Stegostoma tigrinum: one gene and its partner. The protein of the gene in region 1 interacts with the protein of each later gene in a pairwise test. Links are inferred from orthologs where the notes say so. Each region holds a gene or a part of one and is shown on either strand. Other genes may lie near its edges.

Region 1 (7,478 bases):
CAAAATGAGTTATGACAGAAAACTGTAGCCTTAATTAACAAAATGAGTTATGGCAGGTTCTGTGGTGACATGGGAGAAGCATTGAGATGACATTAAGAACACCAGATATATTCTTATTCTGTTGCTACATTAAAAATACTTTACAGTGGGTCAATACCCTGCACCTCCCTTCTTAAAAGATGGTGTCCTCTATAAGGTCTGCAACAGTCCAGGGTGGTAGTTTACGATCTCCTTCTCAAGGACAATTAGTGACAGGTACTTAGTTAGCATCAGGCACATTGCCTTGGACATCCACATCCCATGAATGAATAATCAATAGAAAGGAAGAGCATCTAATTCCTTTTCAAAGAGAAGATATTGGCATTTACTCAGTGGAGATGGAAGAAAAAGGGTGTACTGTATATGCATTTCAAAAAGCTACAATATGCTGAAATGAATACTCTTAATTTGCAAAGTGTGAGAACTCCAATCTCTAGTTTCTCATAAAAAACAATAACCTTTCTGACCAAATTTCAGCTACCTTTTAATTCTTTTGAAAGCAAGAATTAATTGTTCATTTCTATTGTATAATCTATTGAATGCATTATTTCCAGTTTATCCAAATGAGTGTACGCAGGCACTGAATCAATAGTCACCACTTATTAAGTTAAAAACACTTCACACGTAGTATTGTAAGAGATCTGTCATTTGATAATACATAAACAGATTTCAAATAATTTATAATGCAGTTTGGACTACTTAATAATTTAAAGCAAGCATATATTGACAAATAAATACTGCAAGATCACTCAACAATGTGTCCTTACAATTAGACGCAAAATAACAATTCAAAATAAAAGGACCAAAAATGGTTTAAATAGTTATTAACTCATTACATTGAGTTTAAAAGAAATAGTACAGCTTTTTTGGAGCAAATGCAAATATACTATGCAACAAGGAGAACGAACTATCGTTTTAATACTGCCACCCACGTGCAGGGCAAAGCTAGAATTGCAGTATTTGTTTTCCTGCTCATGTTTAGGCTGTCTACACATTAGTAACAATCAGTGTTGCAAAAGGAAACTTAAAACTTTGATTTTTTTTCTCCAGGCCATAATGTAAAGCTATAAAAGTCACAATTTATCAAGGTACACATGAAAATATAAACAGGAACTCTCAAGTAAACAATTCTCGACACCTGTGAATATTCTCACATGTATAATGCCATTCAACACAAGTACTCTTCTTCAGATAAAGAGAGAAGGGAAAACATGTCGGAGAAATGCTACATTAAAAACATGCTTTTGATTCGTGTAAGGAGAATAACATACTTGTGGTATTTTCAGTTTGGCACGTCTGTATTATTCAGTTTGGCCTAAACAAGGAGGAAGTTATTTAATACTTGCACAATTTGGGATTTTTTGCTCTGTTCTACTCAAAAAATAAATGTTGTAAATCCTACCTCAAGTCTTCCAGTAAATCACATTCCCCCTGATGCTTCGCCTGAAGTTTAGTCATTTGCTCAGCATGGATGTTTTTCAGTTCTTGAGTAACTTTCACCTTTGATAAAGAAGAAATATACCATTGGCCGAAAAGATAATGAATGTGTACAGATAAAATATGATTTCTAACCAAACCCACCAGTTTACTCAAGAGAACACGCGAAGTAAGTACAAAAAAGTCGGAGATAACAAGATGTAGAGTTGGATAAACACAGCAGGCCAAGCAGTTTCTGAAGATTTCTGAAGAAGGGTCTAGGCCCGAAAGGTCAGCTTTTCTGCTCGGCCTGCTGTGTTCATCCAGTTCTACACCTTGTTATCTCAGATTCTCCAACATCTGCAGTTCCTACTATTTCTGAAGCAAAAAAAAGTCGGAATGTTTTTACAGTCCTGCGCCAATTTGAGTTAATTTCTCCAGAAACAGCACAAACTCTACGTCTGAGACAGCATACATTGTCACAAATCATGTAAATAGCGCGAAACATTTCATGTAGAGAATTTAAAGCAGTAATAATTGTCAATTTTAATCAATTTCAGACAATTCGTGAAATTACAGTCAAAAAAGTCACTAATTAAAAGATATTCATTCTACCCACTTCCCATAAAGCGTCATTCCTTGAAATGTCGACTCCGATTTCAAGCAATTACAAGAACCAAAATCGTGTACATTTTGGTTTTTAACTTCGACGTTTACATGATGAAGCGCACTAAGGAGAAACATTTTAACACAAAAAAATTAAGCCAGAGACTCCAGAGGGGAAAAAACAAAAACATCTCTCCCACCTTTCACATGTAAATATCTTAACAATCCCACCGATTCCGAACTCAATCACACAACAGCATATTTGCCATTCCGGCACAAATTGTAGAGAAAACAAAATCATGTTCACGAAAAAGATCTATAAATATCTGACCACAGTAACCCAAAGATAAACAAATTGGCACGTCACTGAAATCAAGGCATAAACGGGAAGGGGGGAGGAAGAAATTCCTTTTTAAAGCTGAACACTGGGAACATTGTATTTCCACCATCCCCCCCCGCCCCCGAACCTCCTTCGAATACGACATTTCAGCACACACACACATAGAGTCAGCGAATAAAGATGTCGTTTTTGGAACTCACCTTTCTCGGAGGAGGCTGCATGTCGATGAGCTGACAGGAATCATAAATCCGACGTTGGGAGGATGGAAAGGAAAAAGAAAACCGACAAGGAGATAAATAGAAAGCTGCCTTGCCACCCGCCGATGTAGAGAAGGAATGAGTGGTTTGAGAAGAGAGAAACAAAAAAAAGCAAACTCCGGTACGATCGGGGTCTGCTCTTTTTCTGAGAGACGGGGGCGGTGAGAGAAAGACACAGATCCGTGTCTTTGCTGAGAGTCAATGGGACACCGCCATTATATCTACCTCCGTTACACAACCAACACTCCAGTGAACAGATTCAGTGTGAGAGAGAGACAGACAGGAAAAAAATACCGGAGAAGGCGAGGAGGTCGGGTCGGGGGGGGAGGCAAGGAGGCGGTGGAACATTAACCACCAAACACACACCGCTTCAGGGATCCGCCACTCAATAGCGACTTACAGCGGCGGCTGTCGGAACCGAAGCGGCAAGAACACGAAGGAGAAGGGGAGGGGGAGGGGGGAGGAGGAGGAAGAAGAAAATGTCTTCGTGTCATTGGCGTTGAGAGCTCGAGCGGGGCCCCCGTCGGTGACGCCAGGCCTCAGCCGTCGCCAGGGGCAACCCCTGGGAGGGGACAAAAGAAAGCAATCGAGCTGGGTCATATCGATGGCTCGGCTCCATTGGATTGATCGGTTAGACGCTCACAATCACGCAGAGGCCGCTCTGATGAGCAAGCCTGTTGAGGTACAACCGGTGAATTACTGCCTCAATGTGATACAGAATAGGTGTGTGAACAAGAATGTACTTGCATAGCCCTTTTCATCATCAGCAAACGTCTCAAAGCACGTGACAGCCATCAGTGTCTTTTGGAGGAAACAGGGCAGTCAGTTAACACACTGTTAGCGAGGTAATAATGATAAGGTAATTATTTTAAAAATAATGTTGATTGAGAAATAAGCATTACTCAGGACTCTGCGTTAAAGTCGCTGCTGTTCAAAATAGGGCAGTGAGACATTTTACGTTCATGCCCAACAGATTAAAACGGTGGATAAGGTTTCTCATCTCATCCCAAAGACAGTACCTCTGACAGGCAGTCGGCAAGTCTTCAATTCCTCGATTGAAGAATGCCTACGAAGGTTCGACAGTTTTAGCTGAGGTCTTTGTGTGACTGAAGTGGCTAATTGTTGACCCACGGTACTTTGAACATATTAAGCAGGAGATCGCATGAGATAGTAGGTCCCAAACCACAGGATTTACTTCCCTTTCTGTTCCGAACCTGTGGCAACCCTGCCTCATCATTAAGATGTTTCAACTCAAAACTTGGTGTCATTTGGCGGAAAAATCGCAATTGTGAACAGTTTGTAGTAGGCTTCTGTCTGATAATTGTGAATGATGTCAAGCTTCAAAGACAGTTTCAGATTCCTCCCCTGGAATGCCAGACGTTTAAGAGTTGAGGAAACAGACATTGATGAAGGCGAGATAATAAAATGTGAGGCTGGATGAACACAGCAGGCCAAGCAGCATCTCAGGGTCTAGGCCCGAAACGTCAGCTTTTGTGCTCCTGAGATGCTGCTTGGCCTGCTGTGTTCATCCAGCCTCACATTTTATTATCTTGGAATCTCCAGCATCTGCAGTTCCCATTATCATTGATGAAGGCGATGCTTTTCCAGCCATTGGATGTAGTGTCCCGTTCATTACAGTTGACTTTTGAAGTTTTGCTGAATGCTAATCGGGCTGGCTTCAAGAAGGACACTTTCTATTTTGGAACACATGCCAGTCTGACTCAAAATGTTAATTCCTGTTTGACTCTCTACAGAGCTGCCAGACCTGTTGAATTTTTCCAGCACTTTCTGTTTTTGTTTCAGTTTTCTAGCATCCATAGTTCTTTGCTCACATACTAACATTGTTTAACTGACCTCCCAGGAAATCAGGAGAATGTGGAGAGTCACTACTGGTGGAATTGTTCTTTTGTATCGTTAATACTGCAGAACAAGGGTGTGACAGCAACTGCTTGATAGACTGGAACTGTTGCTGAGTTGTGGAGAATTTGTTGTCATATCCTCATTGACTTAGTTGTATCTCAGTTTTCACACATCAGGGGAAATACTAAGTGAGTAGCCTCATGTAGAACATAAACACCACTGTAAACCTATGTGACCGAATGGCCTGTTATGAAATTGCAAATTGTTTGTAAAATTCAAAGGTTTCTTCAGTGTTGAAAACCTTAAGTGAGAATAAGTAATCTTACAAATTGGTAATATTAACAATTGATTCTTTTATTAAAGAAGCAAAATTTCAAGATTGCATATTAAGTCCACCACCAATAGGATTGACATATCAATCTTTTTGATTCAAGCTGTAAGATACTTTGAAGTCTGGATCTGGGAGCTATTTGGCTATCGTGGGAATGGAGCCATTACTAATTCAAACTTCAGGCAGCAGATAATTTTGTGCATTTTCTGTTAGTTGGATAACATTCAGATTATTAAAGTTACTGAAAGTGAAACCAGTTCTAGTACATTCATTAGAATCTAGACAGCAATCAACAAACTTTAACGTAAATGAACAAGGAACTTTGAGATTTTTTGTGTTGGTCAATTTTAATCACGGTTAAAGTCATACAGCATTGAAACAGACACTTTGGTCCAACTAGTCGATGCTGACCATGTTCTCAAACTAAACTATATCCACCTGCCTGCATTTGGCCCATATCCCATGAAACCTTTCCTATTCATGCTCTTATCAAATGTCTTTTAAATGTTGTAACTGTACCTGCGTCCACCATTTTCAGGGACAGTTCATTCCACACAGTAAGCACTGTTTGTGTAAAACAGGTTGTCCCTCATGTCCTTTTCAAATCTTTCTCCTCTCACCTTAAAAATATGCCCCATGTTTTGAACTCATCCACCTTAGGGAAAAGACATTTACTATTCATATTATCTATGCCTCTCATGATTTTATAAACTTCTGTAAGGTTATCGCTCAACCTCTTATGTTCTAGTGAAAGAAGTCCCAGCCTATTCAGCCTAGTTTTATAAGTGAAATCCTCCATTCCAAGCAACATCCCGGTCAATCTTTTCTGAACTCTCTCCAGTTTAATAATAACCTTCCTACATCAGGACAACCAGAACTGCATATAGTACTCTGGAAGAGGCCTCACCAATGTCCTGTCCAACTTCAACATAACATCCCAACTCCTATGTTCGAAGGTCTGAGCAATGAGGGCAAGCATGTTAGCATGTTAGCAAATTTCAAAATATTATATGCCTGAAACCCTAAGCCTCTCTGTTTGACAACACTACCAGGGTCCTCCCATTAATTGTATAAATTCTATCCTTCTTTGTTTTACCAAAATGCAACACCTCACATTTATCACATTAGAGTACCCATTGATACATATGACTGTTCTTGGATCACTCTGAAAAATAGATACAGCTCCATATGTTTAAATTGGTCTACAAACTACCATCTCTCTTGTTTGATTACATCAGTCATAAAACTTAACACTTACATTTCCTCGTTGAGAACTATTGGACAGATATTGACCAGAAAAGCAGACCACTGGCTCACGTGGACAGCCAGAAGGACTTTACCTTCAATTTTATGGGCAGCAGCCAATTAAGTGGTTGCTGTTGGGTTTGGCATCTAGTTCAGGACAGCTGCCCAGCACTGTGCTCTATAAGTCCAATCAGCAGGCCTGTAGCTCAACAACCTCAGTGCCAATAGGCGGCTGCTGAGACAGGCTGAAGATGTGCTGAATTCAGTAGAAGGTAAAAAAATAATTCAGAGGCTCATTGCTGGAGACAAACCCTGCCCTGGGAAATTGTGGAGACTATCTTCCTCACAACTACATCTTAGGTTAAAAAACAATCTCCTCCCTAATCTGGCTGCTGCTGGGGAAGTTATCTTCATTTATCTGGTGGACTCCCCACTCATTGAAAGAAAGACACGTGTTAGCATTTTAAAAGGTCTTTGTATGTTCAAATTGCACTGTTGGCATAGAGAACACGAATGGCATTTTGTAATTCATTCAAAGATTGCAGACATCACTGGCCGGGTCAACATTTGTGGTCCATTTCTAATTGCACTTGAGATTCAAAGTAAATGCTGACCTAGTCAGTGCTACAGTCCATGAATGAATTTAAAAAATGAAATGGCATGGAAAATGTGGTAATGGTGGATGGGGGTTAGGTGGTGGTGTGAGGCTTAGAGGGCTCGTCTTTTTATTTTCTCTTACAAGTCCTAAAATATGGGCTTTTTGCACAGCCTACCTTGGCACTTGGCAGCCCCTATGGCTGCCTCTGTGTTCTTGCCTGCAGTAGCAAGCCCACCTTTCATCAATATTAACACTCCCCCCTCCTCTACACAATTCCTAAAAATGCAATGATATGGGGCACTTTCTCCCAAACTGGGATTGAGGAGTTAGTCTGATGAAGGGTCTAGGCCCGAAACGTCAGCTTTTGTGCTCCTGAGATGCTGCTGGGCCTGCTGTGTTCATCCAGCCTCACATTTTATTATTGAGGAGTTAGTCGCTGCTTTTAACCTGAGAGTGGGAATTTGGCCTTTACAGACAATATTTGAAACAGGAACTACGGCCTGCAGAATTAATACATTTTCAAATTCCTGGGTTCTCCTAAATTACTCAGGGAACATGGCCAGGTTTGGTAGTCAGTACCCACGTATCAAGTGCCAAGTTCAATGTTTGTGAGTGACAATGTGTTAATTGCTTTTTTTTTGTGGAAAGAAAGCATCAGTTAGAAATAGCTTTTGTTGGGTGACATACTTCCCTTAATTTCAGGGCATCTGGGTGGCATTCATGCTCATTATATGAATAACCGAGATAAGTAGAAAAGGTTTATACTCAATTAATTTTAAAGGTAGT
Region 2 (7,888 bases), on another chromosome or scaffold:
ATGCAAGATACAGAATGTGTGTCAGATTCATTGAGCGAGGTGCCGAAGATTTCCCAACATTGTTGGCGGAACTTAATGAGTCCCAAACACTCTTACAAGATTCAAAATCTGTTTCTTTGATCAATGAGTCTGTTAAATAATTCAGAATGGTTATTTCCTCCTGCAATGGCTGCACACAACTATTCTCAGTTGTGACGTGTATACAGAATCAGGGACAAAAGAATCACAAAAAGACCTACGTTTACACTTAGAACCACCATAGACCCCTTTAGGCCTTTTGAAAAAAAAAACTTTTAAGTATGTTTAGCTAAAGGATGTTTCTTTCCAAGTGGCCCGAACTCAGCACATCTACGGTTCATTCCGGTCTAGTTTCGAAAAGACCTTCTTAGGGTAGTAGGTCTTGATTCTCAGTACATTTCTCCTGTCACAAATGGAAGAATTCTTGGAAATAAAATATAATTGCAGGGCAATGTGGAAAGAGTAAGGGGAATGGGATTCTTGGCTAGTTCTTTCAAAGAACTAGTGCAGACACAATAAGCCAATTGGCCTCCTGAGCTGTACAAATCTATAGTTAGTGAATGGGAAACTAATAAATGAGGGGGAGTCAGCAGCATGAAGACAGAATGCAACATTGAAACTCTGCATGACCATGTTGCTCAAGACTATTACAGATTCAGGTCCAGAGGAGATAGTAACTGGAAATACTAACAAAGGAATGACATCCTGATAGACGCAGCTGAACTGCCAAATTTAAGAACACTAACGATAATGTTTTAAATGCATATTTAACAAAGAGCAACATGATTTTTATCTCTTGCATTTTAATTACTTCGAGGGAATTTAACTTACAGAAATTAACATCGAGCCAGAGGAAACATTAGGAAGATTGTTCAAACAGTTGACTTTAAAGAGATCTTAAAGGAATCATAGGATCATAGAATCCCTATAGTGTGGAAACAGGTCCTTCGGCCCAACAAGTCCACACCACCCCTCAGAGCATCCCAACCAGACCCATACCCCTATAAGCCACCTAATCTACACATCCCTCAGCACTTTAGCATGGCCAATCCACCTAGTCTACAAATCTTTGGACAATGGAAGGAAAGCAGAGCACCCGGAGGAAACCTCGCAGACACGGGGAGAATGTGCAAACTCCACATAGGTAGTCGCCCAGGGGTGGAATTGAGGCCTGGTTCCTGGTGCTGTGAGGCAGCAGTGCTAACCACGGAGTACTGTGGAAAGAATAAGGAAGATTAAGTTTGGGGAAGGAATTCCAGAAGAAAATCCGACAACATGAAGGTATAGGTGACAAAGTTATATCAAGATCAGTATGGTATGTTGAAGAGGCCAGAGTCCGGAGAAGTGTTTTCAGGGACTTGGAAGACAAAAGTGGGTTAACATAGTCTGAACAGCACATTATTTTCCACAAATTAGAGCAGTCTCCATCCTGCATGATAAAACGATTTGAACTCCTCCATTGCTGGGCAAAATAAGCAAAATAAACATCAGCAACTATTACCAGGTTCCTGAAAGGCCCATGTTCCTCATTGTTATCTAACAACTTCTATGGCAAAGTGTGTGAATGAACATGAGGTATAAACAAAATCAGCCACAACTATAATAAATCTTCACTCCCTGAGTACTTGCTCCCTCTTTGGGGCTCTTGCGGCGCAATAACCCTTCCTCTGAGCAAGGAGACACAGGCTCAAATTCCACTTGCACCAGATGTGTCTGAACATGTTGATTAAAAATTGCTTGGTCCCTCTTCCTCTCACTTTTTGATGTTAACATTGCCCTTAACAGGCTTTGATTGTAAATATTCAATTGGCCAGGTGAGTGTTCTTCCTGGTAGTGGAGAAAGAACATAGACTTGCTCCCCTTGGGAACTGTTGTGGTGCCTTTGAACCAGAAAACCTGGGTTCAGGTTCTACTTGCTCTGGACATGTAATAACATCTGTGGGCAGGCTGTTTTGAAAACAAAACTTGCTCCCTCTGTTAATTGGTATCATCCATAGGCCAGGAGGCCTGGTTTAAGTCCCACCTAATCCAGAGGTGTGTAATAGAATCTATTAACAGGTCAGTTAGAAAGTATCTGCTCCCTCCTTGTGGTCAAATCCCTGTTTGCAAACACTAGAAGCAGGAGTAGCTTTCAGTATCTTGAGCCTGTTCTGCCATCAATAGGATCATGGCTGATCTGATAGCAACCTGAAATCCACATTCCAGCTGATCCTCCACCACTGGCCCCCTTCCTTGCCTTACTTAACAAGAACATACCCATCTGCCTTAAAAAAAATCTCTGCTATCACAACATTTTCAGGAAGAATTCCAAAGATTTGTGACTCTCAGAGGTACTGTGATTTTTGAACAGTGACCCATAGTTATAGATTCTCCCACAAAACATCCTCTCCACATCCACTTTTCAGAAGATCTCTCAGGATTTCAGATGTTTCAAAGATGTAACCTCTTAACTCTGCTACAAGATACAAGACCTAGCTTATCTAACTTTTCCCCTCAAGACAAAGCACCCAATCCAGGTATTAGTCTAGTAAACCTTATCTGAACAGCCTCCAACTCATGTACATTATTCTTTTTGAGGTGATCAAAACTGTACAGTCCTCCAGATGTGGTCTCACCAATGCCCTGCATAACTGAAACGCAATCTTGCAACAAATGATAATATTCTACGAGCTTTTCTCGTTACTGGCTGAACTAGCAAAATCCACATTAATAATTTATTCTAACACTTCTAGTGGATTGAGCAAAACGAACAAGTATACTGAGGCCATTGCACAGACATTTACTTGCACTTAGTATTATAAGAGAAACACAGCTAGATTCACTCATCCAATTTAGAACCCTTTAGAACCAAGATGATGAAGAATTTCTTCAGCCAACAAGATGATTAATCAATGAACTCATTGCCGGAGAAGGCTATGGAGGCCAAGTCCTTGAATGTCTTTAAGAAGGAGATTCAAGTTCCAGATTAATAAGGGGTTCAAGGAGACAAAAGAGGAAAATAGGGTTGACAAACCTATTAGCCATGAACAAATGGTGGAGCAAACTCAATGAGCTGAATGGCCTAATATGGACTTAGATTTTATTGTCACATGTACTTGAGCACTGGAATACAGGAGCATAGTAAAAAGTGTTCAAAGTCACCATTCTCCCACACCATCTTACTATACAAAAGACAGGTTTGAAAAACAGCCAAAAGAAAAGGAAACCTCCAGATCACTCCCCCATATGTCTTCACCACCAGAAAAACAAAGCCACAAAGTCCATTCTCTGTCAGAGTACTGAAATGAGTTCAGGGTTTAAGAACAACAATGACTTTTGGCAATCGTGCAGAGCTCACACCTGGTGTAGTGTGTATAGCTTTGGTCTACATTCTTTAGGAAAGATGTAGCTGCCTTAGAGGGAGTGCAACAAAGGCTCACTAGTTGATTCCTGGGATAAAAGGACAGTCTATGAGGAGAGATTGAATAAACAGATTCATATTCTCAGGACATGAGAACAAAAGGACGTCATCTGAACCGACTTGACAGGGTCAATGCTGAGAGGAGATTTCCCCCTAACTGGAGAGTCTTTACAAACAGGACATAGTTTCATAATGTGTAATCAATCATTTCAGATGGAGAAGTTTGTGAATCCGTGAATAATCTAAACCAGAGAGCAGTGAGTCCTTGGTCACTGAAATATTTTCAAAAGAAAAAAAAGAAATCCGGGGTATTGAGGTATAGAGAAGGAAACTGGAGTTGAAATTGAACATCGACTGTGATTTTATTAAATGGTAAGCAGTCTGAAGAGACTGCATGGCGTACTCTGGCTCCCAATTCTTCAGCTCCTATATCGTATAGTTACTGATAGGACTTGTCAATATCTGATCTTTAGCATAATTCTGCTCATATCAATGGTCTAAACAGGTCTGAGGGAGGCAGAGGGAAACCTGCTGTATTTCTTCCCCAACACCTTGAACACCCCCTCCCCCCGACCTTTCCAACACACACTATGTCACATTACTCTGTGAAATTGAAAATACGAGGCTTCCACAAAAACTGAAGAGGAAAATACAAGAGTCCATGAAGAAATGAGTGGAAAATCTGCCCTTTAGGTCAATCAATTGTACAGTCACAGTGATAATGCAAGAAATCAATGCAGCAGTCAACTGGTGCCCAACAAGATCTCACAATTGACAAAGGTGATAATCCCAAACCCAACTTGCAATGAAACTAACCAAACTGACAACAAAGTACTGCTGATGCAGGAACTGTTGGAGACACTCAGCAGGTCTGGCAACAGCTGTGGAGAGAGAAACAGGGTTAACTTTTTGAGGCTGATATGATTTCTTCACAACTGCCCAGGCCTTTTAACAGGCAGAAACAGCAATCTTACCTCATTGGCACCTTTCAAGATTCAAAGATTCTGCCACTCTAGGCACAGAATTGAATGAGTTCCATGTCCCAGATTTTTTTCCCCTCAAATGAAGGATGAAGAACCGAAAGTAAGCTATTCATCTTGATGGAAAGTGACAGAAATTCACTGTAAACAGAATCAGCTTTTGTCTAATGAGAGCAGTAAACATTTGATCAGTCTGCTGCCACGGGCCTTGCACTGTCCCAGCGGCACAACCAGGTCTGTCAATCACAGCATTCCCACCACCTCAATCACCCACCAGGCTTGGGGTTACGTGCCCCACGCATTGTCTCCTGGGGGCTGAAGTCCACTGGCCTTGACGGCCTCACGTTGACCCTCTGCCCCAGAACTACAAGTTCCGGCAGACATCGCGAGTCAGCACCATTGCGCAGGCGCGGTGATGACGAGCCGGCCGGCTGGCGGAGGGAACATGGCGACTTATGTAGAAATCATCCGGCACGAGTTTCCCGATATCGACTCTGAGCTTTTCCAATACGTGACAGGTGAGGAAAGTCTCGTATACGTTCTGCTTTGGTGACTGCTCACAGCGAATTAGGTTTTCCTTCTAGGTAGTCAGTTGTCCTTACAGTCTCCCTTCTGTATTAGTTGGTGAAACCCGGGCCCGGTCTTAGTGAAATAGATTCGGAGAAACTCAGGGTTATGTGGCATTTGCAGGGACAGCAACAAAATTAACGGTTCGAGTGCGAGATGACTCTTTTTGGGAACCTGGTCTGTCCGAAACGTCAGCTTTTGTGCTCCTGAGATGCTGCTTGGCTTGTTGTGTTCATCCAGCTTCATACTTTATTATCCTGGTCTGTCCGTTCTGGTTTGCCTAATTGCGCTATGGACTATCTTGTTCCAAAGGGGAGCCGTAGCTCAGTGATTAACACTGACCTCCGCTTACCCCTAAGACCGAGTCTGAGACCGTGGACTCGATAGATTGGGCCCCACAGTCCAGGCTGATACGACTGGTAAAGGTCGCCATAGTCCCAGAGGACCATGGGGCTGTTTTATCATAAGAGAGAGAGAGAGACACGACTGGCTTCGAGTTTAACCTGAGGGTCAACCGCGCCTCGGGCAAGGGGACATTGATTAGAAGGTAGGACCTTCACCGTAACCTCAGCCAGGAATTGAATAAAACAAAGACCTGTGGACCTTGAAGACGTGAAACAAAATTGTAATTGTTGCAGAAACAGAAGGTCTGGCAGTGTCTGTGGAGAAAAAAAGCAGAGGTGACATTTGAGTCTAATGACCCATTCTCTGAGTTGATAACAGCCAGGAAGATGTCCAGTTTATGATGATGACAGTGTTGGTGAAGGGGGTAGGGAAAGAGGAAGAAAGAGTAAACGGATGGATTGACGGAGGGCTCAGAGCCTGAGAAACCTAGTCACATTATAAAGGATGGCTAATAGTAAGCCAGGGAAGAAGAAAAGCTGATAATGGAGACAATAAGTAGGTGATAAAGGGTTGGCTGTGCTGAAAGCAGGCAATGTTGAGTCAGGGACCAGAGTGTGGGAGTGGGTAAGTGACATAGAGGCAGGTGTTCAGACCCAACATTATTGATACAAAAACAAAGTTACTGGAACACCTCAGCAGGCCTGGTAGCATCTATGAAAGAAAAAAACAATTAATGTTTTGGGTCCTGTGACCCTTCCTCAGAACTTTGGGTCGGTGTTCTGAGGAAGGGTCATGGGACCTGAAATGTTAACACTTTTTCTTCCTTCACAGCTGCTGCCAGACCTGCTGGGCTGTTCCAGCAACTTTGTTTCTGATCCTGATTTATAGCATCTGCAGTTCTTTAGCCTTTTTACCCAACACTATTGAATTTGATATTAAATCCTAAAGACTACTCAGTTCCCAAATGGAAAATGAGATACTGTCCTTCAAGTCTTGTCAATGTCCTGCAGCAAGCCTAAGACTGAAATGTTGACCAAGGAGGACAATGGTGACAGGCAACTGGAAGCTTGCAGGCATTTTTAAGGACAGATGGTAGGTGTTCTGCGAAGTGGTCATGCAGTCTGAGTTTGGTTTTTCCGATGTAGAGAAGGTTACGTTGTGAGTAGCAGGAGTTGAACCTGTGTCTTTTATGTTATTGTACATTGCAGTCCAGGCATCCAGTCAGCTGAACTCATTTGGGGGAATGCTGAACTGTCAGTGGGCTGGCCTTGAGGGTGTGCTGGGTGGCCAGCTGTCATGAGACATTAATTGAAATTTCGATCTGACTTGTCAGATGGACGTTGAAGTGCCCACTATTATTATACTTGAAAAGCGCAGTGTTCAGTGTCCTGGCCATTATTCATCTCTCAATAAGTATATTAAAAATTCTTAATGTTAATGTATTAATATTCATGCAATTTTGCTGTGAGTAAACTGTAGAATTGTCATGCCTGTGTAAGAGCAACTTGGGCTGTCCTGTGCCCTAGCCTTTTCCTTTATTAGAATGTATTTTGCTTCAGATGTTTGTCCAACTCTATTGAAAGGTCCGGTTGAATCTCCCACCACTACTCGATAAGGCAGTAGAGTCAATCGTAAACCAAATTGTAAACCATTCTTGTCTTTCTGTTAAATTAGCTCACTTCACATTTTTTGATACTGAAATGTTCACGTCTTTGCCAAAACTCTGATGCCAAACGCTAGCCTTACAAGCCTTTTCTGCCCTTCCTCCCATTGGCTTGAATTGGCTGCATAGTTTATTCTGCTTGCTTTGCTGATTGCTCTACAATAAAGGGACATTCGATTTTTGTTAGAACTCTGGCGCACCTGAAAATTTTAACTGTTTCAGCTATTCATGGCATCTTGGCCATTGTGGGCTCCTTCTTTAATATCACAGTTGCCATTATATATGTTATTTCACTGATACTTTGTAAGGTAATATTTAACAACTGCTTTTTGCTTATTTACCAAAGAATATCAGTTGAAAATTTCTAACACATGCTATGATTCTCAAATCTGGAAGTAAGTTGTGGAAATGGGCTTTCATAGAAAATGTCTTGCAAAATTCTGGATTGTAGCATCATGGAAACATAACTGGCAAGGTTGAAAATGTAATTGGGTATCTAAGAACATCAATTCCTGATTTTTCTTTTTCCTTGAACTGTTCAGTGTTCAGACATTTTGATTTGCTAAATATGAATTGTAGTCTTGCATATTCTTGGTTTTGTGTTATATGGAGCCAAGATTAAATTCAAATCAGTTGCTGAAGATGGCTTACAGATACTCATGCACAGTATTTTCTTGGTGTTGCAGCATATGAGATTCACCAGAACATTAGTCTCCTTGGTACTTTTGGTTCTGATATTGAAACCGTTGTGTTCCACCATCATCATGTGCTTTGCAAGTCTGTTCCCTCTTAAGATGAGCCTTGCCAAATCTGCTCCTAATTATGTTTAGCAAATTTTTGTTTAATCACTCTTCGCAGCAATTTTTATTTTTCTATCCAACTGATCCTTTCAATTCTCCTTCAAAAAGGCATTTC

Evidence for each region.
Region 2: the proteins of F-BAR and double SH3 domains protein 2-like (region 1) and abcf3 interact in binary tests that used the Homo sapiens proteins (3 or more experiments, as listed by UniProt). The two-hybrid records come from large-scale screens. The link is inferred for Stegostoma tigrinum from reciprocal best matches to the Homo sapiens genes FCHSD2 and ABCF3.

What each region holds. Positions count from the first base shown.
Region 1 is NC_081359.1:90,513,410-90,520,887, reverse strand, and holds the start of F-BAR and double SH3 domains protein 2-like, read right to left. Parts: upstream 3,118-7,478; 5' UTR 2,623-3,117; coding exon 2,602-2,622; intron 2,364-2,601; exon of another isoform or gene 2,262-2,363; intron 1,540-2,261; coding exon 1,442-1,539; intron 1-1,441. UniProt on the Homo sapiens protein: Adapter protein that plays a role in endocytosis via clathrin-coated pits. Contributes to the internalization of cell surface receptors, such as integrin ITGB1 and transferrin receptor.
Region 2 is NC_081367.1:55,794,596-55,802,483, forward strand, and holds the start of abcf3 (ATP-binding cassette sub-family F member 3), read left to right. Parts: upstream 1-4,810; 5' UTR 4,811-4,813; coding exon 4,814-4,916; intron 4,917-7,888.